Lepisosteus oculatus: one gene and its partners. The protein of the gene in region 4 binds, or shares a complex with, the protein of the main gene of each other region. Links are inferred from orthologs where the notes say so. Each region holds a gene or a part of one and is shown on either strand. Other genes may lie near its edges. The genes, in order: rbm48, rbmx2, snip1 and cwc22.

Evidence for each region.
Region 1: cwc22 (region 4) and rbm48 share a complex: the UniProt entries of both Homo sapiens proteins name them as parts of the minor spliceosome. The link is inferred for Lepisosteus oculatus from reciprocal best matches to the Homo sapiens genes CWC22 and RBM48.
Region 2: cwc22 (region 4) and rbmx2 share a complex: the UniProt entries of both Homo sapiens proteins name them as parts of the minor spliceosome. The link is inferred for Lepisosteus oculatus from reciprocal best matches to the Homo sapiens genes CWC22 and RBMX2.
Region 3: cwc22 (region 4) and snip1 share a complex: the UniProt entries of both Homo sapiens proteins name them as parts of the minor spliceosome. The link is inferred for Lepisosteus oculatus from reciprocal best matches to the Homo sapiens genes CWC22 and SNIP1.

What each region holds. Positions count from the first base shown.
Region 1 is NC_090705.1:5,011,727-5,019,741, reverse strand, and holds the start of rbm48 (RNA-binding protein 48), read left to right. Parts: upstream 1-5,005; 5' UTR 5,006-5,064; coding exon 5,065-5,175; intron 5,176-5,471; coding exon 5,472-5,662; intron 5,663-6,080; coding exon 6,081-6,226; intron 6,227-6,543; coding exon 6,544-7,124; intron 7,125-7,661; coding exon 7,662-7,733; 3' UTR 7,734-8,015. Other genes in the region: peroxisomal ATPase PEX1, read right to left, coding at 217-340, 663-782, 1,441-2,138, 3,209-3,323, 3,535-3,618, 3,881-4,027, 4,471-4,578. UniProt on the Homo sapiens protein: As a component of the minor spliceosome, involved in the splicing of U12-type introns in pre-mRNAs.
Region 2 is NC_090703.1:47,213,528-47,221,333, reverse strand, and holds the start of rbmx2 (RNA-binding motif protein, X-linked 2), read left to right. Parts: upstream 1-4,803; 5' UTR 4,804-5,275; coding exon 5,276-5,283; intron 5,284-6,593; coding exon 6,594-6,709; intron 6,710-7,335; coding exon 7,336-7,387; intron 7,388-7,557; coding exon 7,558-7,687; intron 7,688-7,806. Other genes in the region: glucose-dependent insulinotropic receptor, read left to right, coding at 957-1,994. UniProt on the Homo sapiens protein: Involved in pre-mRNA splicing as component of the activated spliceosome. As a component of the minor spliceosome, involved in the splicing of U12-type introns in pre-mRNAs.
Region 3 is NC_090706.1:12,463,946-12,470,848, forward strand, and holds the start of snip1 (smad nuclear-interacting protein 1), read right to left. Parts: upstream 3,005-6,903; 5' UTR 2,859-3,004; coding exon 2,683-2,858; intron 1,753-2,682; coding exon 1,647-1,752; intron 805-1,646; coding exon 239-804; intron 1-238. Other genes in the region: caspase-13-like, read left to right, coding at 5,679-5,725, 5,916-6,250, 6,400-6,521. UniProt on the Homo sapiens protein: Required for pre-mRNA splicing as component of the spliceosome. As a component of the minor spliceosome, involved in the splicing of U12-type introns in pre-mRNAs. Down-regulates NF-kappa-B signaling by competing with RELA for CREBBP/EP300 binding.
Region 4 is NC_090707.1:19,010,160-19,017,450, reverse strand, and holds the start of cwc22 (pre-mRNA-splicing factor CWC22 homolog), read right to left. Parts: upstream 3,006-7,291; 5' UTR 2,979-3,005; coding exon 2,916-2,978; intron 1-2,915. UniProt on the Homo sapiens protein: Required for pre-mRNA splicing as component of the spliceosome. As a component of the minor spliceosome, involved in the splicing of U12-type introns in pre-mRNAs. Promotes exon-junction complex (EJC) assembly.

The DNA of each region.
Region 1 (8,015 bases), on a different chromosome or scaffold from region 4:
AAATCAGAGCAAAGGCTAAGCAACATCATCCTGTGTATCCTGACCTAAAAGTAAGAAATGATCATCTGATAGGATCAAACCCACTTTAAAAGCCAAGGGACCTCTAGAACAGGTTTAGTTGGACATGATACCAGTTAATAGCTTATCCCATTCACTACTTTAAAACATCCTCCTCTTCCACTACGGCTCCGAATGAATGATCAGTAAAACACTTGCCTTCGTGGACTGGCAAGGCGACAAAGCTGGACCTCCCTGTGAGCCAAGGCAGCTCTTCATTATTCTGAGCTTGCAGCCAGTCCAGGAAAGCAGACTGGACATCCTGCTCCTTGACCTTCTGCGGCTGAGGAAAGGTAAAGATTAAACACTTCTGTCAGGTCTCTTAGTTTCAATATGGGCAACTGAGACATAAAAGCACCACAAGGCTGGAGCAATTTCTACACACAACAGACACAAACAAAGACAGGCACTTTCACTTAAGTGGGGGTTTCAGAAACAGAAGAGAAGCTGGGCTATACAATAACTAGACCAATGACTCCACTCAAGAAAAAAAAATACTCTAAAGAAACCCATGTGCTTTACACTTCTAGCAAAAATACCTTTAATCCTTTTAACTGGAGAGAGCTTTGCATTTTATCTCCTACAAAATCTACGGTTCAACTCACCAGTGATTGCAAGGGCTGCAATCGGACACAGGATGCTATTTCTGGGACTGAGTTTAATGGCTGTATTCTAACGGCTGTGCAGAAATCAATACCCAGTCTTCTTCTAATGGATTCTGAAATCTGTGGACAATAAGGATAATGAGACACACAGGCCGGGATTTGGAAAACAATACAAAGCAATATAGAAGGGTACTGAAACAAACAGTATATCAGTCATTTAACCACTGAATCAATGTGATATACAGTATTTGACATTTCCCATGCTTGTTCACCCAAAGACATTAAACTCCTTTTGAACCGCACTTAGAATCATTTACAGTGAGCGGCTTTGTTAGGATCCTAGTTCCATTTGTTCACAGAACACATTGGAATTCTTTATAGCATCTCCCCTGCTGCTAAAACAGTGAGGCAAATGGGCTATTAATGTATTTTTTAAATTAAATGTGTACAGTATATACTGTATCCTGCTATCCTACAGGTGAATCAACAAGATTCAAGGGAATCACTAGAGTCAAAAGCATCAACTACACACATTTAAAAACCTATTTTAAACCCTTTGTAAACATTCCTGTCACCAGCTCCAAATTGAATGCAGCCCTGTGGCTGTAATCGTACTGTATATCGACACTGTTGTGTCCAAGCAACGTGCTTTCCTACCCCTCGTTTACTCTTCCGGAGCAATCTGAGTGACGTACCTCGCTACAGTGTCTGAACCCACCAACTCCAGTAACGAGTCTGGAGCTCGAACCACTGAGCCGTGCTGCGGCCCCCCACTCACCCACACCCTCCCACCATACGGCATCCCTCTCCTGCTGCCGCAGCCCTGGGTGTCCGCCAGCTCCTCCACCCCATGGCATATGATCCTGACGGCCAGGGGCCCTGCGGCGCCCCCTCCGGACCCGAGCTGGTCTCCAGCGCCCCGAGCCTCGGGGCCCCTCTTCCTCTCGGGCTGGGACAGCGTCCTGTGCGGCTTTTCCCTTGGTTCCCTGGGGCGGTGCAGCCCGGACAGCCGGCCGTAGGTGACAGCGAACGGGGCCCCGCCGCGCGCCGCGCAGGGGTGGCGCCAGGGGAAGACGTGGGCTGCTCCGTGACCGGGGCTCTGCCGGCCGGCAGGGAAGGGGGCGCTCCTGCTCACTCTGAAAACAGAGTCCCCGAGGACGGGCGGCACCGAAGGGACAGCGGGAACCTCCCTCTGGGGGGCAGGGCTCCCGGCGAACATGGATCGGATCAGGCTCCGCAGATTGCGCCCCCCTCCGGGGGAGACGCACGGTGGCGCCCCGCGGTGGGTGCCCAACGCGTCTCTCCCCGGGGCGTTGTCTGGCCCGTGCGGACCCCGAGCCTGACTGGCATCTGCTTGCCAGTTCGGGGGGGCAGAAGGGCGCGCCGGGCTCTCCCCGTCTTGGCGCAGCTTGGGGGAGACGATCAGCTCGGTGAGCTGCTCCAGCCGGCCATACGGAGCAGCGGGCGTGAGGGCAGCTGGAGCCGAGCAGGAACAGGAAGATCAACGCGTTACAAACAGTCTGTCATTGTTTCTCGGGAGACAGATGCTGGACCACAATTGACATAACAATGACACATTTAAGGACTTAACACACAACATATGTGTGAACAATATTGTTGTTTTTTTTTGCTGGCTGGAGTTTGGAGGTTGTAATTGTATGAAGATTAATCATAGGTAAGAAGTCAATATCCAGCTTACACAAAACCACTATAGTAAGTCTAAACTTTGCCTCACACTAGGTTAACTACGTCATGGGAATACAACCGTAAATAACACTGACTGAAGTCAAACTTTCATGTTTTTTTCTAATGCAAGCCAGGGACTATTTCTAACAGCAAGCTCAATGGTCACTAAAACTAGCTTTAGTACACATCCAAGAAATCAGCAAAAGTGGCAAAAACATTAATTATTAAGTCTCCTACTAACATTGACAATGTCTTTTCCTCCTGCTTATGAATGAACACCTGATTCACGTATTTCAAAATTAAATACCTGGAGACCTGGAGCTGGGATTAGGCTCCCCTTAAACGTGTAATAAGTGTGTTTTACACACACAATAAAGTGACTCTTGCTGGCCTGTTTGTGTCTGTGTCTCCAATAATACATTTTAACAAAGGTAGGTAGGTTAGGTCCCCTTTTCAGGCCATAAAGGCCCATGGAGAAAGGGAGGCAGGGGCCACCATTCTTTTCAACCATCTGACACTGGAGGTGGAGGTGATGCGGTCAGCATCGCACTCCGGCCAGCCTGTTACCCCCAGAAGGATTAACCCCCGGTACTCATTTGGAAAGCAGGCTGAGTGGACCTGGGTGTCTTCAGGAAGGAATTAGAGCAAGCGAAATCACTTGCCCCTACCTGGGATTAATCCCAGGACCTTCCAGTCAGGAGCTAGACCTCACATTTCAACAAAACAAAAGCAAAATGAGTGCAACATCTTGCAGAGGAACACACGGGTCTCATGCCACTTAGGTCTTAAATCACCCGGCATAGCACCGAATACCTGCTACAGAACAATTGCGGATAGAGGGAAGAGTGCAAATTGCAAACCTATCCTGACGTAGATGACAGTGTGCTGGTCCACCCACACGGGAAACAGTCCGTTTGGATACACGACCCTTATCTGGTCAAGGAGGTGTCGCTCAAGTGCTGAGCTGTGAAGCTCCTGAAAGAAAAGTGACAGCCCGTCGTCAGCTCGTGTAATCTCAGTGGGACAATAACAAACCCGCGCCATTTTTATCACATTTAAGTGATGTCCATTCTCACTTCTGACAAACGCATGATTGGGTCAAAATGTGAATATTCAAGTTAATTTGTCATATACAGTAGATGAGAGCATTTGGTTTACATTAAAAAATTGCAGACTAAACACATACCAATATCTCCCAGTCATCAGATGACAGTGGTTCCACAAACACCTGCTGAATGGATAGGATCTGCCAGCAAGGTCTGAGAAATGCCTGGAAAATAATGTAATAAAACTTCACACATTCACATACAGTATAAAGAAACAGCACATATGTAATTATCACAATAATCGTCATCATAATGGTAACTTCCTTGTGATAAGAATGATGTTGTTAGGCAAACATAGAGTGAAGCTCAAGGGTTTGTCATGCAGTAGGTGGGTGTCTCTGTTTTGAGGTTGTCCTTTGCAGCCGTTTGTGTAAAATATGACACCAGAAATTCAGGAGCTGGAGAAGCTGTCCATGACATCCCTACCTGCTCTCCATCTTTGATTCCAAGCCTGGCACCCAAGTGCCTGTTGACCTCTACAACGCTCTCCCCCTGGAATGAAGACTGCAGGCATTTCGTCCAGCTGAGGTACACGGGTTGACAGCGGTCCCAGGAGAGCTCCAGGGCTTGGTTCTGATTGGAAACGCAAAAAGAAAACAGAAACAGAAACACCTCGCATCGCAATCACGCGGCCGAGGTCTCATCCTGTGGGGAGTCTATTAAAAGGGTCATCTCCAGCTCCTCACCGCGGAAAGGTTTCAAATGAATCAATCAATCAAGAAATCAGTTCTAGTACAAGACCGCTGAGTCCAAACGAGATGAAAATGAGAAACCCCCCTGCAAATACTGGACCGTGGCAGTCGGCTCTAAACCCTGCGCTGTATTTGAGTATCCGTCTCAGCTATGATTCAGACTCAAAGGTGTAAAGATCCACCTTATAAGCGAGTTTCGTATTAGACTGTATTTCGACATCTTTATTTATGCTAAGTCCTGACTACAAACAATACGCAAGCATTGGCAATTGGTTAGGTACATGGATATCACTAACACGACAACGTAAGGTCTCAGAGTACTACCTCTTGAAGGCGAAGCTGTGAAACTAAGCTCGAAGAGAGGTGCAGAAAACAGTTTTTAGCATTATTAAAAACTAATGTCACTGGCTGTATGCCATGGCTTCCCAGCATTGCTGCTGCAGAAATAGATATTACAAGATACTGTACAGCAGCGCTTCACCACCTGCAGAGAGGAGGGCAATGCGAGCGACTCGCTCTCCGGCTAGGAGCAGTTCAACAAAAATCGTCAAATTTGAATATTTTGTAGGTGCTGCTGCTGTTCGGTATTACAGCATCGAAGCTTTGCTGTGCACGAAGAGTATGTATTTCCCCCAGTACATCTCTGTGTAAATTAATTATTTGATATTAATTGTCTGTCACCCTAAACGTAAATGAAACATTCTTTTTTTAAATCTTATTGCAACGCGCATTGAGATTATGCACCAGTCCCCTAAGTATCAAAACAGGAACTCGGTTTTATTTTTCATTGGTTTAAAGCTGACAGACTACAGCCTATGGTACTGTACAATGATACGGGGGCAATCAGCGCCAGAAACCTTCCCGATTGGTCACGCTCGATTAGCTCTGTGTAGGCTGTTTCTGCCTTGACAGAACAAGATGGCTGCCTCCAGTTGGAGCATCCCGGAGATTTTAAAACACCACCAACAAACAGACGTTTGTTATACAAGAGCTAAATACAGGGAAGGGAGGAGGCTTAAGGCTGTCAAGGTTAGCTTTTTCCCCCTGTGTTTGTCTTTACCGAAACGATTGTTTCTGTACGTAGCCTGCTATATCAATTACTGTGTTCTGCTGGGCTCAAGCTGTCAGACAAGAAACATCTTTAAACTCTTTCAGATTAGAAACTTGCTTTTAATGCGGGTTTACGAAGTCCAGCACGACCACAGTATATTTAACCCAGCAGAGCTCTATTGGAGCAGTCTAAGAAGACTGACTCTTATTTATTGACGGTGACAAAGTCAAAAGCAGCTTTAGGAAGTGTAATATGTGCAATTCCTTTTGTTTAGGTTTATACTATCAACTTGGAGTCCCGCTGCTTGTTGGTCCAGGGGGTGCCTGCGTTGGGGGTGATGTCTGAGCTGGTTCAGCTTTTTGCTCTGTATGGAGTGATTGAAGAATACCGTGTGTTAGACGAATATCCGTCAGAACAATTCACAGAAGTGTACTTGATAAAGTTCCAGAAACTACAAAGTGCAAGGTAACAGTTCTGGTATTTTCATTTATAATACCACTTCACACCAGTAAGGTAACAGTGGTCTTCCTAGCATTTGGATCGAATTCACATTTGTGTTTCTTGTTCTGTTTGCTGTTTGTGTGTGTTTTTTTTGCTAACTGCTTGTTTGTGATGAACTGAAGGACAAAACGTTATGCCAGCAAGGCATACAGCCTACTCGACAATAAAATCTGGATTTCTTTAAGCACATTAATTCGAGTTAATTTCACCTGTTAATTGTGAAAGTGCAGAATATTCAGTGAATATACTGTGACTGTGTGATTTTAGTAAATATCCCTTTATTTTTAATACAACACCAAAGAAATAATTGCATTTTAAAATGTTGATAAAACGAAAAATCATCAGTGTCCCACAACTATTTAAAATATTTTACCCAATACAGAGTAGCCAAACGAAAACTGGATGAGAGGAGTTTTTTTGGTGGACTTCTACATGTGTGCTATGCTCCAGAGTATGAAACGGTGCAGGACACCAGGGAAAAATTGCAGGACAGGAGGAGGTATATTGCAAGAGTAACACGGAATAAAGGTGAGCTTTTTAAAATAAAAATCAAATGTTGAGTCAAATGAATCAAATGTTGATTCATGCTTTAGTCAGAATAGTCCTAAAAGTTCAGAAGACCTTCCCATTTAAAGCTGGGGGCCCATATTTGTTCCACTCTTTAAGTGTAGTTGATCACTTACACGAATTTAAAAGCTTTGTAAGGAGGTCTTATGTAATAGTTATGAATATACAAAGACAAAATCGATATTTGTTTTTTTTGTTTACCAGACCTTGTGGATTTAATGTGCATATCCTGAAATACTACGAGTGTTCTGGAAGTCAGGCTTCTTATTTCCTTCCAGGAGGAGACCATGATAATACAGAGAAGAAAGTGGAGAAGCCTAGTACATCTGAGGAAGCTGCATGTGAACAACAGCAAGCAGAGGAAACTGGTGATGATGGTGAAAAAGTCGAGAGCTGGAATGATTATTATGGCTATCCCATGCTGCCTCCTCCTCCTCAGGAAGACATCCCTGGGCATCAGTCGTTTGGGGAACAGACATATTTTAGCTTTAAGGGACTTCCGGAAGTGGGTTCTTCATCTGAAAGGTTCAGAGTGGTGCCCAGGAATCGTTCAGCTGATCACAGTAAGAATTCCTTGGGGGATCCCTTAGGGTCTGTTCGTAAAGATAAGCGAGTTCACAAGGACCAGAAAGATCCTGTTGCTGTAGTTAAAAGCAGTACTGCAAGATTCATACCAAGAACCACACATTTACAAGAAAGGAAAAGAAAAATGGAACAGGCTGGGGAACTCTCTCTTTTGGGAATTAACAGAACAAATGAGACAATCATTGGACCAAAACTACCAGAAACACCCAAAGTGGATATGGGAGATGATTCCCTAAACACTTCAGTCGACTTAATCAGATCAAAAATAATTAAGGTGAGTTGCAGATTTTAAGTTCTTTATAAGACCTTCACTGTCTTAGCATTTCATTTCTGTTATGTGTGTTTGGCATTATTCTCCATTTCTGCTGTTGTTCAGTAGGCCAGTAGAGCTGTTAAAAACACAAGCCATCAGAAACCTCACACATTACAGTACTTGTAAGATATTTGGAAAGGCTTTGCACAGTAGTGTAGTGTTACAAAACCAACAAGCATATGTGTGAGAAGAACTGCCCAGCTGGATTCCATGTGCATAACTTCCAATAATAGGACTATCAGATCTGAAATGTTTCTAATTCGTCTCTTTTAGTCCACATATAGATTTCCAAATAAACTGGTGCTCAGATGTGCACCTGTGTTTGTACATAATCCATTATGAGCCACTCATGCCTTTTTTTTCTATCGCCACCTTTCCATCTCTCCGAAGACTATTCAGTAGGAGACATATTCTGCCTCGAGGCACTGTGGAGTTATAACAATATAGGAAAACTGTGTTGGGGCATTTTACCATATTTGTTTTTTCTTTTGCAACCAGATCTCTTCGGTTCCAGAGTCAAAGCCAGGAGAGCAGCAGCCAATTGCCCCAAAACCACGCAGGAGGATTTAATTGTGCTCTTTACACTGGGAAACGCTCTGCTCGAGAGCAAGGAGCTGTGTGAATGAGGATGAGACATAACACATTGATTTCCGAGTGGCTCCAGAAGGTCTTCAGCATTCCAAAACGGTCATTCTCGGACATTAACTAGAATAATAAGAAGCCCATGAAATCACTTTGATTAAATTAATATTGATATTTGAAAGGTGCTGAAGAAACCTCCTTGCTGAACAGAAGTAGGAGGAACAATCCAGATAAGCATTAGAACTAATACAGTCTGGCGTTAGTGTTTTG
Region 2 (7,806 bases), on a different chromosome or scaffold from region 4:
AAACAGACATCAAACTGGATGAAAAGAAATGTAAAAAAGAGGAATAAAGTAATGAGGAAAAATGACAACTCAGTTCAAAGAACAGTTTAGAAGTTGATGGATCCTTTTTTTCTAAGTACAGATCTGCAATTTTCTTTAAAATTGTTTGTTTGTGTTTTTAAGGCATACACCACACGGAATCCTCTAGGAAGATGACTTTTCCTTCCGGTGTGTCCTTTATCCCAGGCTGCGCTTATGGGAATGGGAATTCAGCCAGATTCCAGACTGGAAAGGGGTGAAAGACTGAAAGACCACAGCTGGCTCTGCATACGGACAGGGCTGTGGAAACAGGGAGATCAGAGCATTGGCTGGAGGGAAATGCTCTTCTGTTTTTTTCCAGGACTGGTGCCTGGGTGCTCACGCTGTCTTTTGCGGTCATTTCGCTTGTTTTTGCCTTTTGACGCGCGATCCTTACGCATTTCAACATCAGCTGCAGTTGCAGACTTTGCTTTTCTGCCCCGGACTCTGCTCCAAATCAAAACCTCTTTATCCTGGGGGGGGGGGGGGGAGGGGCACCTTATGCAAAAGCAGATTGTGGCTTACGAATCCGCGCCCACTTATTTATTTATTTTACAGTTTTTTTCATGCTCTTGGCGACTCCTGTTCTTGGGGGAGTGTGGAGCAGCGCACTCCAAGGAGGGAGATAAAGGGTAGAGAGAGGGAGGGTGAGTGAGAGAGGGCTGGAGGACAGATAAGAGAGCTCTGCATGGGCTGTGCATGTGTAGAGCTGCTCGATGCCTCTGTGGATGGAGCACTAAGGCTGCAACTAGCTTGCGTCTGTAGACTGGCACCCCAGATGCACACAGTGTGGACAGCAAACCATGTCTGTCACCCAGGACACACAGAGCACGGGACAGGCCTCCTCCTGTTAACTCTCCTGCCAGCGCAAGGGCAGTGCCAGGGATCGATCACCAAGCATGGACGCTGAGCTCTTAGGCTGGATCCTGAGCATCAGCTCGGTGCTCATCATCGCTACCAACGTGCTGGTGGGCGCCGCCGTCCTGCTGCTCATCCGCAAGAAGGGCAGCCAGAGCTGGGTCTTCGTGCTCAACCTGGCGCTGGCCGACACGCTGGTGGGGCTCGCCATCCCGGGCATCGCCACCGAAGTGATCGGCGCCCACTCCTCCTCCACCCACAAGACCAGCTGCCTCCTGCGCATGGCCTGCGTCACCTCCCCCTCCGCGGCCTCCATCCTCTCCATGTTCCTCATCTCGCTGGACCGCTACCTGGCCATCAAGCTGCCCCTGCGCTACTCCCAGCTGACGGGCCCGCGCACGGCCGCCGGCGCCCTGGTGGCGCTGTGGCTCGTCTCCTTCCTGGTGGGCTTCCTGCCCGGGATGGTGCGCGAGCTGCAGCAGAGCGACTACAAAGGCTTCTGCACCTTCTTCTCGGTGATCCGGCCCCAGGGCATGATCGTGGTTTTCTGCGCGGGCTTCTTCCCGGTGCTCTCCGTCTTCATCTACTTCTACTGCGACATCCTCAAGGTCGCCTGCGCCCACCAGCGCCAGATCCGCCGGGCCAGGCTGGCCGGCTCCCGCCTGCCGCAGCCCGGCCACTTCGCTGGCCACATGAAGGCCCTGCAGACCGTGGCCCTCCTGGTCGGCTGCTTCACCCTCTCCTGGTCCCCCTTCTTCGTGGCCAGCACGGTGCAGGCTCTCTGCCAGGACTGCCGGCTCTACCACGTCATCGAGAACTACCTTTGGCTGCTGGGGCTCTCCAACTCCCTCATCAACCCCCTGGTCTACGCCTGCTGGCAGAGGGAGGTGAGGCAGCAGCTCGGCGTGCTCTTTGCGACGGTCAAGGGCAGGATCTCGCCCGCCGCTGCCGCCATCGCCACCGGGAGGCGCCAGGCACCGTCGACCACTGGGACCACAGAGCTCAGTCACACCCCTGTTCCCACAGTGCACTGCGGCGCGCCCGGGGAAGGACACGCCAGCGCACGGGGCTCTGTCTAACCCCTCCTGAGCAAGGGCACCAGGGGTACGCCCGCCGATGACAAGGGGGTGTCTGAGCTGGACGTATTCCTGGAGAAAAAACAGCCGTTTCCTTTAGTTTCTACTCCCGTCCTGCCGTCTGACCCGGAGCTTCGCAAGTAAACAGCGGGATTTGGGGATACCAGCTGGCACGCTGTGCTTTCCGACTGCTCCTGCGGCCCAGCTGTACCGCCACGGGCTGAAAAGACCAGATGGCTGTGTTTGCTTTTTCGCCGGGGTTCATCAGTCACGTTAAACACTTTGCTAATTGACTTAATCTTTTGCTTCTGCACTTTGTTCTGTTCTTCTATTAATAGCTATCAAAATATACAAAGAGAGGTTTGCGAAATGGCCAAAAACTTCTAAGCAAGCCCGCCAAAGGCATGTCTTTCAGGTGCCCTCAGGCTACAGCACAAGAGGTAGTGTTTAGAAACTATATTTGGAATGCCCAGGTAGGTACTGTTTGGCAGCACGATGCAGTAAGGGGTCTGGAACATTTTATGTCACTGCATTTGTGTGTGTTGGTGTATCAGTGATCCATTACCTTATACAAAGCCAGAGAAATACCTGCTCATCAAACAGCATACACAACTAGCATCAGCAGAGCACATCTGTGGGCTGGTAATGGCAGCAGGACTAAAAGCATATTCTGCAGGTGTTTGTGCTTCTCTAGAATACCTTCCTGCTTCCTCAGGTTTTACCCCTTTCTTGCCTTGGTACACTGTCTCTTTAACCCTCCTCAGACTACTTCGACTTAAGACAGTCAGTGGCACGGACTGGAGTGCCAAATGCTCCATCTCTCCCTTTCAAATTGATGTAAATAGTAAAAACAAAACTGTCCCGTGGAGTCTCCCATGTGTAATCTTGCCACCTGGTTTATGAATGGGCGCAAACAACTTTCTTGTCAAAAGAGAAATAAACTTCTTTGCACTGTGTTCTTGCACCGAAACTGAATGGGGATATTACTGTGAGTCTTTTAGGCAGGAAGAACAGGAGCAATAGGCGGGATAACAGAGCGACAAGCAGGACAGTTTAGGCTCCGTCAAGCCGTGAAATAATGTCAAAGCCGTGAACCTGGGAAAGAATCATTTATCGTAACTCTAAGAAGACCCAATCAGCATCAAGACACCAGCGTTACTGTTCTCCTTAGAAAGGCTGACTCAGCTCTTAGGGAGGGGTGCACTGCGAACACCTAGCCTCTCTCAGGTCCTGGGTCCCCAACACAGCAAGTTCGGGTGTGTCTTGGTTATCCCACTCTCCCCCTGGAAATCTGTGTCCGCAGCCCAGAGGCGCACGTGGCGTTGCCACGGGGACGCATGTTTTTTCTCATAGTAATAACAATAATATTTTTATTTTATTTTATATAGCACCTTTAAAGGTGGCTTCTCAAAGCGCTTTACAGAATGAGAACAACAATCAATAAAAAGAATACACAAGATAAAACACAATTACAATACACAGAGGAGACCGGGGATGGTGGTACTAGGAAAAGCAGAGGGGTGAAGAATGGAACCAGTTAAGTAAAGGCTTTTCTGAAGAAGAGGGTTTTGAGTCTGGATCTGAAGGAGTTTAGAGAAGGTGACTCTCTGATATCCTTGGGGAGAGAGTTCCAGAGCTTGGGGGCATAACAGGAGAAGGTCCTGTCACCCATACAATGTAGACGGACTTGGGGGACAGTAAGGAGACCAGAATTAGAAGAGGTGGGGAGTAGGGCGATAATAGTTCAGACTGTTGTTCAAAGTGGATTTAGATACCCTATTTAGAAACTAGATATAGTCCACCTAGAAACCGATTTCATTTACGTGTTGGCAGTCATTTTTTGCATTATAGTAAACTCATTAAATACACCAAGATACTATTTAAAAACACACAAACAGCGGTCTCCCTTTTATCTGTTCCGTAATCGGCGAAGGCGCAAACACGCACACGCAACAGCTGCCTTCGTTATGAGAAATGCTGGGAAGATTTATGGAGCGCGAGCGAATTATAGATACCGATCAGATACTGAAGTAGACATAATACGTGCAAGGGTGATTTTTTTAAATCAGCCGTAGAGTCAGTGCGTCACGACTCTTACCGAGCAAGTCTCCAAAAGGAAGTTCAATCTATATTTTTCCCATGTGCGCACTAGGTTATTGTCCAGGTAAAACCGGAAATGAAACAATTACACAAATTCAGTTTCAGTGTAGCCAAAGTTTTTGAAACCGGACAGATATGCCTAGTTATTACTTTATTTATGTTACTGCTAATGTGACGTGAGAAATGATCAGACATGACAGATCCTGCCCATTAACGAAACACATACCATCCCTCAACAGGACACGTGCGTGGATTTAACTAGTGATTTAATTATTTATAAACATTTATAAACTCACGTTTAGGTGAAACTGTTTATTTCATCACCCAAAGTGACGGGAAACACGATGAGAACAGTAGAAAAAATTAAACCCGGGGAATACTTTTCTTTTGTATCATACTGCTACGTTTTTAGTTAAATTGGCTAAATTTGGACAAATGGTGTCTTTGATTTTGTGCATCAGTTGCTGCGCTCTAGGTTTTCAGCTTTTATTTTACAGATACGTATCTACGCACTTTTAAAATTAAATGTATAAAGAATTTACAAATACAACTAGAGGAGCAGAAACAAATAAAAGAGAAAAAACACATAAACAGAAAAAACAACGTTTTGCCACAGGTAATGAAGAAAATTATTTACGTGACCAAATAATATTTTTTACATAAATCAAATGTTTTCCTTGCTTTAGCATTTTTCATTTTTTTTTAATTAATTCTAGTATCTACGCATTATACAGATTCTGCAAACGGCTCTTCTATAATGACCAGTGTCTCATTGATTGTAGAAAGTAACTCAAACCCAAACACTGTTTCAAGACTTTCCGAATAGGAATTATGCAGAGGATATGAATGAGCTGAAGACACAGCATGTGGATCTCAATCGTATTTTAAGAGAGCGTTAAGTATCTCGGGAGTTTTCAAAAGGACACGCGAAAATATACCACTTTGCTATTTCAACAGACGTTGGAGTGAAAAATGTTTTTATATTCGGTATGGACCATCTTCCTTGTTCCTGTTATATGAATAAATGCAATTTAAGATACATTTTTATTATAAGAATGACTGTTCCCTCAAAGGACACTCTCCACTCGCAAGCTAGATATTTTTGTCACATGATCCAGTAACAACCCGGAAGCGGAAGCAGGAGAGAGAGGGGTCATTTGGATATCGTGGGAGTGAATTCGTTCATGATGAAGTGAGTATCGACCTTCTATTAGTTTTTCCTATTTTTCTAAACTATTGCTTTCAATTTAAAATGAACCTTTTGCTGTTTTTAATTGTATAGTGGCGAACGGGTGATGTTATGTAAATTAAAAATGACAAAGCTATCGACCAAGTTTAGCTACCGGTATTGAAAGAAAAGCTTCTTTTTATTACGTGACCAAAACTCACAGCCGCAACACCGACCTCATTCTGTGATACTGTCCTTATCGGCTTTCTCCAGCTTACAAACTTTGGATTTTAAGAAATATTTCATCCTGTGGTTAGCTACTATCTAGCTCTATGTTTTGTTTTGATTTTGGCAGCGACTCTGAGGTTCCAAATTGGGGTAATTCAGTTAGCATTTGTTTTGCATTGTTTGCGTTTTTACTTTTTTTATCTTGTATAAACTCAACCGAGTGTTTTCGCTTCTCTTTAATCGTTGTTGAATTTACACAAGCAACGCAGTAAATGCAGTTAGGTGCCACCTTGTGGTGAGAAGTGGAATTGCTTACAGCAAGTTGTGTAGGACTTCACTAGTTTAAAAATGGAAAATCACCTCTAATTCTACAGAACCGTCACCCTCTTAATAACACAATCTATGAGTCACTGCTTATTATCATTTATTATAATTTCTTACATTTATATAGAATTTTCTGGACACTCCACTCAAAGAACACTACAGGTAATGAATGGGGGACTCTCCTCCACCACCAGTGTTGAGCCCCACCTGGAAGATGGGACGATAGCCATAGTGCACCAGTACGCTCCCCACAGACCAGCTCTCAGTGGGGAGGAGAGCGGAGTGCTGATGCCAGTTCAGAGAGGGGGATTATTAGGAGGCCATGATTGGTAAAGGCCAGGGGGAAACTTGGCCAGGACACTGGGGTAACACCCTTACTCTTTTCAAGAAACAAGACCATGGAGAATCAGGATCTCAGTTTAACGTCTCATCCGAATCATATTGAACTTTCCCCAGTAACGGAAATGGAAATTAGTTAACCTTTCCTTGCTACAACACAGAACACGTAGGCCTGAACTAAATCAAATCTTTGACTGACTCGGATCTGCTTAATTGGATCCCAGTTAAACTGTCCTAAGCCTGTCATTGGACACTGATGGTGATATCAGGTGACCCAGTCCCCCTGAAGTAGGGCTTTGCATAAGCAGGGTTAGAAATCCCTCCTCTGTAGAAGAATGCATTCATGGCAGGCTGGCAGATAAGGACAGAATTGTGAAGGGCTGCCCAGCCTTGCTGTGTGTGTATTGCAGTGGGAGTCAGTCTTTTTCTCTGTCTCTGCGCAGTCCTCTAACCAAGGTGAAGCTGATCAATGAGCTGAACCAGAGGGAGGCGGAGCTGGGAGTGAAGGAGACGGTGTCCTGGCACTCGGAGTACAAGGACAGCGCCTGGATATTTATAGGTGAAGACAGACCTTCCTTTCTCTCCTCTGCATTGATCGCTGTTTATAAACTCGCATTATATGGTGACTGATGAGAAAGAACTACATTTGCAGTGGTGGAAGGGCAGATAAAATGCTCACACTGCTTAGGGCAATGGCTTTAAAGTTGTATCACTCCTTTATTGTGGATCCTTATTGCTGGACAGCTTTAGTGAGGCCCTGGACTCCTGACTGGAAGAATCCCAGATGGGGGCACTGCTACTGTACCCCTAAGTAAGACAGTTTATCCAGATTGTTCCAGCAAACCAAGCTGCACAAATGGGTACCAAAACCTGTATGTACAGGCTACCCTCTGTACTACTCCACCGCAGGAGTGACAGGTGATGGATAAAAATCCAAAAAGAACCTGGAAACAATTGGTTGTGAGGTATAAGTAGGCCAACAGATCAATTAGTTGATTCAGTTAAGTTATTAAGATTTCTTCTGGAAAAAAACCCAGGAGGCCCCTGTTTATTTGTCCAAGAGTGGGTGACTCACTTATCTGTGTTTTCATATTCCTCCAAAGTTAGTGATTCCTACTGGATTTGCTGTTATCTGTCAACCATGTGTGGGTGGCTGTTTTGACCTGTGTGTGTGGTTTCTGGCAGGTGGCTTTCCATATGAGCTAACGGAAGGAGACGTCATCTGCGTTTTCTCACAGTGAGTGTCTGATATTATACGTGTTTTCACCACCTCAGACCACGGGTTTCAAACCCGTGTGCTCAGTGTTAATGCCCTGTTCATATCCCTTTCCACCAGTGACATGTCTCTCTCTCTCTCTCTCTCTCTCTCTCTCTCTCTCTCTCTCTCTCTCTCTCTCTCTCTCGCAGGTATGGGGAGATTGCCAATATCAATCTGGTGCGGGATAATAAGACTGGGAAGTCGAAGGGCTTCTGCTTTATCTGCTATGAGGATCAGAGGAGCACCATCCTAGCTGTGGATAATTTCAATGGGATTAAGGTAAAGGCAGGGTGTTCAAATGACCAATTCTGCACAGCCCGGTGACCCGGCCATCCTCTGGACAGTGTCCTGGGGGATAAAATACAGAAGGCCTGACAAATTTTGAACCCTGATCTAGC
Region 3 (6,903 bases), on a different chromosome or scaffold from region 4:
TCAATCAGAAACAAAATAATAATAATAATAATAAAACTTAACCTATTGATTTTACATATTGTGTAACAGTAATCTAAACTCAGCAAGCTAACATTTAAAATTGGAGTGACCAAATGTGGAGACAGATAATACTCTGATTTTTAGAACTTAAAGATCTCTTATTTTTTTAATTCTGTAACTAGAGCAGGCAAAAGGGCAAACTAACCCCCACAGAGATTGCAATGAAAAAGGAGCTCACCTGTACTGGAACACTGCATGCTGCTTCGAACAAGAAGGGTGATCGATGGGAATGTCTGCGATCTTTCTTTGTCTGCCTAAGAGATAGGCACTCTGGCGATGAATGTACATGACTGGCAGGGGCTCGTCATTTTTGAAAGGGTAGAGCCGCCACCTTCTCTTTGGAATTCGAGCCTCGGGGGGCTCGTTGTATTTAATCACCACCCCCCGGAACGTATTGGTATCTTCCACCAAGGCTCCGGACAGTTCGAAATTGGGCTGCTCCTTCTGGACGGGGTTGTCATCGTTATTTTCCTCTTGACCGAAGCCCGCGTCCTCCGAGTCCATGCGATCTTCGTCTCTCTGCCGATTCTCCCTCCTCCTTTCTTCGTGGCGCTCCCTTTCGGCCTGCTGCTGCTGGAAAACCTGGGCGTCTCTGTCCCGGCCCCGCTCCCCCATCCTCCTGTCCCGCTCAGGCACCCTGTCTCTGTGTCGGACCCTTCCCGCATCTCTGCCCCGCATGTCGTCAGACGCCTCTGAGCGATCTCTGTGCCTCCGCTCCTCCTTCCCACGGCGGTCATCTCGCTCCTGACAACAACCACAATCCGGGTGATCTCACGTTAATCTCAGAGCCCAAGAAAAAGGCCTATTCCAAAACAAGGCATATGTTTCTATTCCTGTCCCAGGAGAGGAATAACTTTCATTGGACTTCAGAGCAGTGCTTGAATGTAAAACCCTTCAGACACACCTCACTGGTGCAACACTACAGAATCTGATCTGGGGTTCATTAGAAATTTGCTCCTGTTGTATGTGATATATATATTCAAAAATAGCCATTGTGCCCCATTTAGAAATCTCTGCGTAGATTCTAATGCATATGCAGTGATCCCTCCTCAACACTCATCCACAGTAATATCAGAAAGACACTGGGGTTGTACTCAGATTATGAAAACTCTTTGAGAATATTTCAATGCAGAGTGTTACAGAAAGATGCACTTTGTGTGTGTTCGCCAGAAAATGGCCTTTTTCAATGCAAAGCACGTTTCAAACCTTCGCTTACCAGTGCTGTGACTTTTTGCATCCACTAAAACACTTCTATGAAATATAAAATACTGCACTTATCCCATTGCCACCTACTCTCTCTCTCTGCACCCAGAATCAGAATTAACTGAGAGACCTGGCTAACAATGTGTGCACGCAATCCTACTTCCAGTTAAACCCTTTGACACCTACAGTGCCAGGTCTCTGGCACCATCTTAAACACTTGAATTGTGGTGCTGATGTCGCCCTTTCCACCTCCACACAGGTGCTGAAGCCATTCTCGATGGCTCGTCTGGACACACCCCACACTGAGTCACCACTCAACACCATAGCCTCATAAGAACAAAACGGACTTTGGGAAAACAGAAAGGAGCCATGATGTGAATTACCTGCTTTATTCTTACATCATTACAGGGAGGACTTGTGCTCCTTCTCTTCCTAGGAGACCTGCTGCCCCGTCTCACTGGGGACTTGTCTCTTCCTCTGGGCGGTGACCTATCAACATAGTTCACACATAAATCTACAACAAAAATATTCCTCCTTGCTCAAGTCACTAAAGTAACACTTTATACACTGAAGACGGTAAGAAACCTTAATAGCTAAGTCTTCAACCCCAAAACTTTGCATTACCTTGCCGTAGGACCTGCCTGTCTGCACAATCTACTCAACACATCCCCAGCCACCCACTTAGGATAAAGAAGCACGGCGTTCTGCAATGCCTGAGGTCACATCCCAAACACAACCACAGCAGAGCATCACTCAGAGAGGCTTGATGCAATTTCTAGTGCTGCACTGTACAAGGGGATGGACAGAGGCAGGTTTACACTTTTCTATAAATCTTTTCCTGAAAACGTCTTATCGGTCGGCACTTCAAATTGTTACCGGCTGGAGTAAAATAATGAACCTAGGTAGCAAAATCATCAAAGTAAATCAGGCCAGCCTAAACGTTAACTATATACAGCATCATAGAGTGGAAGTGACACCCCCGCCGATGTGATTTACACTACTCCCACCTAATAACGCCTCTGTACCGCGATGTGTAATGTTCAAACACAGGAAAGGGTTGACCCCTTTTGCAATTCCCCCTATTAAATAATACAAAGTTATTTATATTGACTGAAATTCTGTTTGTCCTGACCTCTTTGTTGATGTTGATTTCACTGGAATGATCTCAGCCGCAAAATTATTTTCTTCCTAACGGATAACTACATTTGGACTATAACAGAGTTAACGTGCGGCGTACCCAGTATTTAACTTAATCGAAAGAGCTAGGCCTTCAATCACAGCAGCTCCTATAACGCTGTATATAATGCACTACCAAAAGACGGCTCCTTTCGTGAGATACGGTATAAAACGCCTAGTATTTGTAAATACATAAAAACCTATTATTTTTTTCCCAGCTTTCGTTTCTTGTACCCTCCCTACCTGCTGGCTCTTCTCCTGTGCGGGGGTGGGCTTGCGCTGCTGCGATCTGACGCCGAACTCGAGCGGCGAGGTCTTTTAGGCCTGACGGGGCTCAGCCTCTCCTGTTTAATTTTCGTCTTTGTTTCCTTCAGTGAAGGAGGGGACTCCAGCTTTCTGTGTCTTCTCTCCTTGTCCATTTCTCAAACGATTTGTCTAATATCGTTTAGGAGAATTTAAAACACTCTCATCGCAGATATTTTTCAGATGTAATTCCTTACACAAACGCAAAGTCCGTCTACCACAGAACTCGTATCGGGCTTATTCCGGTTCCGGGCACATCGTATATGGGATCCGGATGTTTCAAGCCTTTCGAGCTATATCGTTCCGCTTAATTCGATACTATGGGATAAACTTTTCAATATATAAATCAGTTTAAGTGAGACTTATGATGTACTGGCATTCTTTACAATAGAAATTCCATAATATACTCAAAATATATTTTATTAAAATAAATGTGTTTTAAAAAAAAACAAACTGTGTTGCGTAAATAACGTCAAGGACCCAGGCATACGTCTCAGCCTGCCTACGCTTCTGCTTTTCCAGATTTTTTTAAACCCACACATAATATTTATAATGTCACGTATTAACTGTAAATTAATGTATTCGTGTGTTCTTCGACAAGCTAGTTTTGTAAGGTTGCGATCTGGCGCAAATCCCGGAACACCAGGAGGTGAACTAAACATTGTAAATTGAGTGTTAAAACTTAGTTATTTTAATATTTTCTCTTATATACCACATAAAGCCTGAGAATATACGTCTCAACGTCGGTTATTTGTAATGAATGTATCTTTATATTATTTTATGAATATAACAATATATTTAACATTTAGTGCTTATGCTAGAAATATTCAATGTTTACAAGGCACACTTATTCTAAATTTTAAATATTTAGAACATTTTTACAGTACAGAACATATTGCCCGTATGATTAGTTACATTTGAAGGCTGGTTATGGTTAGTTTACCTGTATTTTTATAGTGAATCTGAGCATTTGTAATATTTAACAACTGAAATCATTTTATTTTCATATTTGATTAACCTGGTCTTCAGTTCTCTCATGTTCCGAATGATGTAGCATTTCTGACATTGTTTTAAAAACCTATATCCAGGTACATGTTTTAAAGCTTCCATTTGCCTCTTTTTTTATTACCATTAAGGTTTGTGTCTTCAGCCCCATCTGCTACTTTCAATAGTATATGAATTAGACGTCCACTGCTAAGAGCCAAAGTATTCCTTTTTATATGGTGTTTATGACACAGATGAAAAAAATGGTTTCTTCTCGGCCATTTGTTCAAGATCTCACCAGTTGATTGTGGACTTTACTGTCCATTTTCCTCCAGTCCTAGCAAACGTTCCAGGAGGAGGAGGAGAAGCATCGCCACCATACCTTACTTCAGAGAGTTGACTGGGAAATGTGCTGTGTTGGGACAGTACCAAATGTACTGCTGGCGTTTGCACCAAAAAGTTCCAATGTGATCTGAACAGATCACAACACCTTTTGCCACATGGTTGCAGGATCACTGCAGTGCTTTGTTGCAGACTCTATGCAGGCTTTGGATTGACTTATTTTTTGTACTGGCTTTCTTACAACCTGCCAAATAGATTTAGTATGTGACACAAATTATTGACTGCCCATTTTCTTCCATCTCAGCCATCGAACTCTTAAAAGTTGTTATTAGCCTTAAAGTGGCATTTCTCACCAGTTTCCTCCTTGTCTGATGCTCACTTTGGAGGTAGGGTCTGAGAACGCAACAGTGTGGGTGATATATTTCTTGATGATTGGAGTAGACTTTGAATGTTTAATACCCTTCTCCTGATCTGTGTTTTTAATTGATTTGATCCTTTTTAGTTTGAAAGCTACTTAGTCATGATATTCACTACCTGACTAAGGACCCTCATATAGAGAATCGGTTTTATTCTTAAATCAAGAGATCCAATATTATGTCATACAGAGGCCACTCAACGTATTGTAAGACTCATTAAGGTACTTTTGTTCACCTAAATTAATTTACCTTTTCCACAACATCTTGAATGCTTATGTAATTAACACTTTTCCATTTTTAGCCAAGTAAATTATATATTTACTTCTTTTTTTTTTGAATGTGTGAAGTAGGTTGCGTATGTAACAGGTATTAATTACTACTCCAAGGTGTCATGACTGCAAACTTTAAAGCAACACAATGTGAAAACTGTGGATGGATATGAATTGGCTCTGCATATGCATGTCTGGATTATTAAGGCTTCTGAATGTGAGTGGAATACCATATAAATATACTGGATTATTTTCACAAATTTATAGCAGCTTTAAAAAATATACAAACAGTAATGGAGGTTTCTGCATGAACAGAGGATTAACAATTCTCCAGCCTACTGCAATTTGAGTTTTACTGCTCTTTCTGGAAAGCTAGAGCTGATTAGACAGATTCTCAGCTGTTTCATTTACTTGTTAGTTAACCATTAACTAGTGGGTGGAGTAGTGGCACTGTGGCTAAGGGTTGGTGCCTGTGGCTAGAAGGTTGCGGCCCAAATCCCACAGCTGACAGAGGAATCCTACTCCTGAGCAAGGCCCTTTAACCCCAATTGCACCAGGGGTGCTGTATAAATGGCTGCCCTGCACTCTAACCCCCAAGCTTCTCTCTCCCTCTCTGTGTGTCTCATGGAGAGCTATTCTAGAGCTAATGCAAGAAATTGGATATGACTAATAAAGTCATCTTATCTTATCTCTTAACTGAAAGGCAAAACCAAAGTTCAGTCATTTATCTATGTATAAAGTGGGATTTCCAAAAGGTGTCTCCGGAAAAAAAATCATCTTGATGCTTCTCTTACTGGAAGAGACACCAGTTTTCATTACTGATGGCGTCACACAAGGAAATTAAGAAAACGGGTTGGGAGGACTTAAACTCTTACTCCCACTGCTGCATTTAGATTGTAAGGGCTACAGCCAGTCTCTGTGTATTATGGAGAAGATGGAGCGAGCACCTGATGTCCACTGGAGAAGGAAACTGTAAGTTAAAGAAAATAACTGTTTTAAATCCATAAATCGCAGATTAATGCAGAACTCCTGCTAGGGTGTGAAACAAAGTCAGTCTGTTGCTTGCTGGAGTGGATTCTAGTCAGGGATGGGGCGCATCTGTATGTATGTCTTGTTTGTCGCTATAATTTTATGTCTGACTTGTCTGTATTTGTTTATACAGTATCCGAGGGCCAAGGGAGAAAGAGTGGCTTATATTGGCAGGACCTGAGAGTCTGGCTTCTGAATGGATTGCCAAGAAAAAATCTGAACTTGTGGATCTACTTTCTAAGGACCCTGAAAATGTTTTAAGCCTAACATATTCTAAAGGCCTGATTACTCCAGCTGAAGGCCACTGGTTGAGAAAATATCCAGTCAAACACCAGATGGCTGAACTGGTGGCAGTAATCATTCATAAGAAAAAATCCCTTACTTTCCTTCAGCTTCTAGCAGAACTGTATGGAAAGGCATACCGCAGACACTATAGATGGATAATGGCTGTTTGTTTAGAACAAAAGGGTAAGTAATGGTTTGATTCCTTTCTCTCTAATGAAAGTGCCAATGAGAGCAAATGATAATTCTTTTGAAAAATATTTTTGGGCATTGCTTTTCCACACAGAGGGTGTCCCACACAAGTCACACGAGCTGTCCATCTTTTGTCTCTTCAGAACCTCTGGATGAAAACAGGACAACAGAACGAGCCAGGGACCCTGTGGACAAGCCAAACCTTTTTGTTAAGCCCTGTCCTCTGGAAACAAGGAGACACATTCAGGACAGTCAGAGAGGGGAGGTAGGCCTGCAAGTCAAATCCAAAATCCTCTCTTTTTCCTGTGAGTAGAGCCCTGGGGGAAGTTAGATCTGTGGGATTCCTCAAGGAGCCCTTTGAAAGATCCTTTTTTAAGAATCAGTAAAATCCTGTATGATTAACAGTGTTAATTTAGTCTTGCAAAACCACCTGATACCCCATTAATCAAAACTATTGTAGATGGTTTAGCTGCACTATTCTGATACACACCACAAAAACTGCAGCAGTTTCTGTACCAAATATAATAGAGCAATTGCATTTGGTACATTTACACACAGGACCATATGGAACATGCTCCCATACAACGGCAATACAGGCCATTTTTTCTTATGTGATATGAAGATACAATTCAAATACAAACTGATAG
Region 4 (7,291 bases):
AAAGTAAATGTCTCACAATTCTGTTAAAAAATATGTCAGCATATTCAGCTTCAATAATTTTATGTCAGTCTTAGATGTCATTGCTGCTACAGAAGAGAATAGATTTTGCAAACATATCTAAAAGTATGTCCAAAATTCAGCAGCCAGAATCCTGACCAGATCTAGTGCAAGTGTTCACATTACTCCTATCCTGGAGTCCTTGCACTGGCTTCCGGTCAAATTCCGCGTAGACTTTAAAATCCTCATGCTCACCTACAAGGCTTTACATGGCTTGGCACCTCAATACCTGTCTGAACTTTTATCGCCCTACTCCCCACCTCGCAACCTCCGCTCTTCAAATTCTGCCCTCCTTACTGTCCCCCAAGCCCGTCTACATTGTATGGGCGACAGGGCCTTCGCCTGCTATGCCCCCAAGCTCTGGAACTCCTTGCCCAAGGATATTAGAGAGTCACCTTCTCTAAACTCCTTCAAATCCATACTCAAAACCCTCCTTTTCAGAAAAGCCTTTACTTAACTGGTTCCATTCTTCACCCCTCTGCTCTTCTTAATACCATCTTCCACGGTCTCCTCTATTGTTATTGTTGTATTGTTGTAATTATAATTGTGTCCTGTCTTGTGAAATTTTCTTATTTATTGTTGTAGTCTTCTTATTTATTGTTATTGTCATCCTGTAAAGCGCTTTGAGAAGCCACCTTTAAAGGCGCTATATAAAATAAAGTTTATTATTATTATTATAAAAGTCACACCTGCCTTTCAGTACCACCCATGAGATTTACACTTTTTAGACAGACTGCTTATTCCTTTCAAAACATTTTCTAAATAATAAGAATGCAAAACCATTTGAAAACATTCAGAATTTAATTCTACACTAAGATAACAAATAAAAAGATAACATTCCGACAAAACTAACACACACCCTTGACTTTTTTTACACTATTAGACTCAGTGATTTCCCCATGCTGTGACACTTCATTTCCTTAACTACATTTCCCTCACAATAAAATTCTATCTTTCCCACTCAATTTACCTGCGTTCAAAAATCAGTTCAGAATCTGCAGGTATGAGATGGAACTAGAATACCATCAGAGATGCTACATAAATTATATGTATAATGCAATCAAATTGATCTTGACGATAAAATGTTTGAAGATCTCACGGTTCACAACTGGTTTTGGTTCACAAAACCACAGGTATTGGGGAGAAAATTCAAACAACTTGTACTGTCTACATATTACACTAGTGAAAAGTAAAAGCAGTGCTAAGCAACAGCTGGCAATGTTCAATTTTGACGGGAGACCTCCTGGGAAAAACTAAGGTTGCTGCTGGAAGAGGTGTTAGTGGGGCCAGCAGGGGGCGCTCACCCTGTGGTCCACGTGGGTCCTAATGCCCCAGTATAGTGATGGGGACACTATACTGTAAAAAGGTGCCGTCCTTTGGATGAGACGTAAAACCGAGGTCCTGACTCTCTGTGGTCGTTAAAAATCCCAGGGTGTTTCTCGAAAAGAGTAGGGGTGTAACCCCGGCGTCCTGGCCAAATTTCCCATTGGCCTTAACCAATCATGGCCTCCTAATAATCCCATCTATGAATTGGCTTCATTACTCTCTGTTCTCCTCCCCACTAATAGCTGATGTGTGGTGAGCGTTCTGGCGCACTATGGCTGCCGTCGCATCATCCAGGTGGATGCTGCACATTGGTGGTGGTGGAGGGGAGACCCCATTACCTGTAAAGCGCTTTGAGTGGAGTGTCCAGAAAAGCGCTATATAAGTGTAAGCAATTATAATTATAATTATTATTATTATTATAATTTTAATTAGTGCTGCTATCTTATTTGACTATTTTATATTAATTGTATCAGAAAAATACGGATAAATACTTGAATTTTCAACACCAGTCCATTTGGCATTAACGTTTTCCTCCACCACAAAGCAAATGAAAGGGTGTTTTACATATAATCAATAAAATACATAAACGACATAAATTCACCATAAATGAACCCTATGGCCTTTACTGAACGATAAACAGTTATCGTTTAGAAAACGGGTAACTGACATGCTCACAATTCACTGAGGTAACTGAACTTCTCCTCATCAAATGGAGTATGCTGCTACTTCCAATATTCACAGCATGTAGGCCTACATTTCAGTTTATCTTGAGAAAATCCGCTAAGAGTGAAGCAGTGCCACAAGTGTATATTAACGGAAGGAAAAGCATCTACAATCTTCCTGGAACCAGTAACGCATCACAGACAGGACGAAATAAAACTCTTAATTGTTTTCCAAAACATTTTATACAACCACCGAATCTAAACCTGCACTAGAACTATCTATAAAAACTTCGTCGCCATAATTTGTGTACTTACGGATCTAGTATCCGAGGGAAAAATGGAATAAATATACCAACACCTGTTCCTATTAAATTCGGCCTAACAATAACAAAATGCGAGAAGCTTACGTACACTTTTCTAATATTGTTGATAACTAAGTTATCGTCTCTACAACTCCAGATTTACCTTAGATGATGCAGACAAACGCGTTTTATTCAACAATGTTTTAGTTATAAACTAACCAAAAATGCGTATACTAGTAATAGTTTATTTTCGACTAATTAAACCTGGGTCATATTAGTAACAGGGGAAAAAAAACTTTTTAAGCTAGGAAATGTATTAAAATCATAATGCAGAAATATTTTTAATAGTTTTTATACCCAAGGGAAGAAATGTTTACTTGCATTGCGCCATGTGTGACAGACCGGAGTTCTTTATAGTACAGGGAAGGCCTGTACACGTTTCGTCAATGCTTAACCTTACTACGACGATCAGAACGCCTAAACATTGAAGTGATATTATATAAATAATTTACCTATGAAACTATGACAACAATATCACTCAAAGAACATGAAAATACTTTATTTTTACCTCCTCTGTTGCAGTCAAGTCGCGTCTTGTTTCAATTTCAACTTCATTCGATTCCGCGGCCATCTTTCCTCAAGTGAAGATCACCTACGGATCCTTGTAGTGCTCAAACGGCACGAATTGGTGAGCCTCACACTACCTGCTACATCAGCAAAAGAACGCGAAATTCGAAATCACAGTACAGTGTATCGAAATCTAAAATAGACCGTTACTTTACCAGCACTATAGGGAGTGATAAAAAGATAGAGGTATTTGTGTTCTAGACAAGATTTAACTAACGTGTCTAGTGATTTTAAAGATCGTTAATTATTGTTTTCATCAGCAATTTGTAGATCATTTTTAAAGAAGATTTCAGTGTAGTCTACGAACACAGCACAGCCGGAAAGCTGCAACATACAAAAGAACAACAAAAAGACTGCTGTAAGTAGCAGTTGTATGACTTCTAACATTACAGTAATATTTTGAGCTGAATGCTTCACAGCAGCATTAACATCTTAGATCCTGACTTGATCTGATCTCAGATCTCAGAAGTCTGGTCATTTTTGGGATAAAGATACTAAAGATACCAAGGTTGCTGCTGTATGTGTTTTAAGTAGACCAGTAGGTGTAACTATTTCCTTTGAAGCATGATTTCTAAAACTAATACCCCAGTATGGCAATAAGGAATACTGTGCCGTACAAACTGCTTTTCTGTCCTGGCAGTTTGGTTGTTGTTAAAGTCCCTGGACACTGTTTGTGAGACTACGGGGATGAGCTCTGTTTCACTAGATAAGTTCCATTTTAGGTCTGCACAATTTGTACAACCTGAATTTTTTAATTTAATAGGTGAAGCATTTTCTCACTTCTCCCCCTGATCTGTTGTTTATGGGGCTAGTGGTGCAAAATGGGTGCCACACATTACCCAGTTGAATGCAGTTTTCCTTTGGTGGATAATATGGGTCCCTTCAAATATGTAAAGTTCTTTGGGGTGCAAAGTGGCACATAAATGCGACGAATTATGATTTTCCTATTTATTATGGATATATTGATAAGGCATTTGATTACTGCATATGGAGACATTGTATACTGTACATATTACAAAATATCCATGGTATATTATACTTTAAATCTTAACTAAAATACCTCCATTCTTTTCTCATTTTTAGCTTTAAGTATGAATGCTGAGAGAGATTTTATGTTACTTTGGGAAACCTGCTGAGCTGTTAACATATAAAATTGTGAGCTAATTAGCACTGTACAGTATGTGTAAATATGAAATATTATTAACAAGCACTGTTTATTTCTCTTTACCCTAAAGTTAGGTTTCCATTCATGTGTGTGCATGTTTCCTCCTCCATTTTGCCGATTTTCGTACAACCTAAAATGATGGTGTAATGCTTTTGAACCTAAAAAAGATTCTCCTTTAAGTACAGGATTTGCCATCACAGAAAAAATACAGTAAGAACAAAACATAGAAAATGACTCAATGAGTCAATGAGAGGAATAAATTCATACTCTATTTGTATAGGAATTCTCAACAAAATACTCCAGAAGAGCAGAATATTTTTTCAGTGTCTGTTCATGAGAAGAAGACGTTCACATTTAAGGCTGGAATACTGTCCTTTCTACTTTTTTAAGCTTTATTGAACAAAAAGAAAGAAAACCACAGGAGTCTTTGGAATAAAAGCTAAGATGTAATGGTTAAGCATTTGCTTACCCTGGGGCATTGGCCTTGTTTTCGTGGTTTACATGAAAACACATTTTTTATTGACAAGAAAAACTAGAGCAGGCTTTACATCATGGGGCAGAGGTGGCATTAATGATGAATCTCACATCCACTTTTATGGCAGTGTGTTCCCTAAGGAGACACTTTATGCTTTACGATGCTGCCAGTGAAGCTACTTTGGTGGAGTAAATGGTGTGGAAAGGACCAAAATATTCTTGATTTTCAAAAGAATAGCATTTTTTAACAGAGACATTCTTTTTGCACAGTTTACTTGAGAAATATTTTTTTTTACAACCATAAAGTCAGTAATGTCCATAGAACTGAAGCTATGAGTGGCGTTAATAATTTATTGTGTTAGCCTTTGGGTAATGCAAGGTGGCAATGCTCTGTGTATTGTGAAAAAAAATCCCAAATCTGTAGGACAGCAGCCTATACATAGCACAAAACCGGTATGACAGTATCTTGGACAGTTGACTTTCACAGAAATCGGTCAAGGACTGGTCACACATATGCAAAATAGGGCTCTTTAGCAGTTGCTGATCAGGTCAAGACCATAGGAGTGCCATGAATTGCACAGTTTCAAGCAAGATAGCTTTAGAAAGGTCATGGTGCTTATACAAGTCATAATGATACCATCATATACATATATTATACTAAGCTTTTATTAATAACATTGTGTTACAGACTAATCTGTTTGCTGAAATTATTATATAATCACTTTCAATGCAATCCATCAATCTGAACAGCCAGTGATTGCAGTTTTTACATCAACAACACTATTAAATATTTTACATGTCTCTGCTAGTCTAATTATGAGAAAAATAGCTACTTCCTAAGATTACCATTCCATGGAAAATGCTGGGTTTTATTTTTGCATGATCAATATAGCGCAATGAATTAATTTGCTCTAGTAGACATTTCTTAAGATAGGGAGTTGAGAAAATTGCTTAGAAACTGCCTTCCTTTTTCTTTCTTAATTAAGAACTTAAATAGCTGGAACCACATTTTAAGAAAGTTATTCAATGTTCTTGCATCTGGAAGAGATCTTAAGTAGAACATGTTCACAAAAGAGGATGTTCAAAAATACAACATCAGGTTCCATATAGGCAAGTGCAAATACTGATAGATTGAATGCAAGCATTGTACTATACTTAGAAAAAGGCCAACTGTGACATTTGAGCTTTTTCTATAGCAATGTCAAACACATGAATTTCTGTTCCATAGAAGATTCTCAAGATTATAGTCCATTTTAAAAATGAGGCCTTAAAACATCAACCTGTAATTGATTTTCATGCCAGGGAGAATTACAAAGGCTGAAAAACTACAACTCAAGTAAATGCAATAATAAAATAACATGTTTACATGCATGAAATACTATAGATTCCAGTGCAATACTACTGCAGTACTCATCTAAAATACAGTACAGGAACCGTATGAGTAGCTGTAACACTACGAGGAACAGCAATGCAATAGTTCAAAATTTAAAAAAATACATCAAATATACAGTGCCTTGCGAAAGTATTCGGCCCCCTTGAACTTTTCAACCTTTTGCCACATTTCAGGCTTCAAACATAAAGATATAAATTTTTTATTTTATGTGAAGAATCACCAACAAGTGGGACACAATTGTGAAGTGGAACGAAATCTATTGGATTTTTGAAACTTTTTTAACTAATAAAAAAATGAAAAGTGGGGCGTGCAAAATTATTCGGCCCCCTTGCGTTAATACTTTGTAGAGTCACCTTTTGCTGCGATTACAGCTGCAAGTCGCTTGGGCTATGTCTCTATCAGTTTTGCACATCGAGAGACTGAAATTCTTGCCCATTCTTCCTTGCAAAACAGCTCGAGCTCAGTGAGGTTGGATGGAGAGCGTTTGTGAACAGCAGTTTTCAGCTCTTTCCACAGATTCTCGATTGGATTCAGGTCTGGACTTTGACTTGGCCATTCAAACACCTGGATACGTTTATTTGTGAACCATTCCTTTGTAGATTTTGCTGTATGTTTGGGATCATTGTCTTGTTGGAAGATAAATCTCCTTCCCAGTTTCAGGTCTTTTGCAGACTCCAACAGGTTTTCATCCAGAATGGTCCTGTATTTGGCTGCATCCATCTTCCCCTCAATTTTAACCATCTTCCCTGTCCCTGCTGAAGAAAAGCAGGCCCAAACCATGATGCTGCCACCACCATGTTTGACAGTGGGGATGGTGTGTTGAGGGTGATGAGCTGTGTTGCTTTTACGCCAAACATATCGTTTTGCATTGTGGCCAAAAAGTTCAATTTTGGTTTCATCTGACCAGAGCACCTTCTTCCACATGTTTGGGGTGTCTCCCAGGTGGCTTGTGGCAAACTTTAGACGAGACTTTTTATGGATATCTTTGAGAAATGGCTTTCTTCTTGCCACTCTTCCATAAAGGCCAGATTTGTGCAGTGTAAGACTGATTGTTGTCCTATGGACAGACTCTCCCACCTCAGCTGTAGTTCTCTGCAGTTCATCCAGAGTGATCATGGGCCTCTTGGCTGCATCTCTGATCAGTCTTCTCCTTGTCTGAGCTGAAAGTTTAGAGGGACGGCCAGGTCTTGGTAGATTTGCAGTGGTCTGATACTCCTTCCATTTCAAGATGATCGCTTGCACAGTGCTCCTTGGGATGTTTGAAGCTTGGGAAATCTTTTTGTAT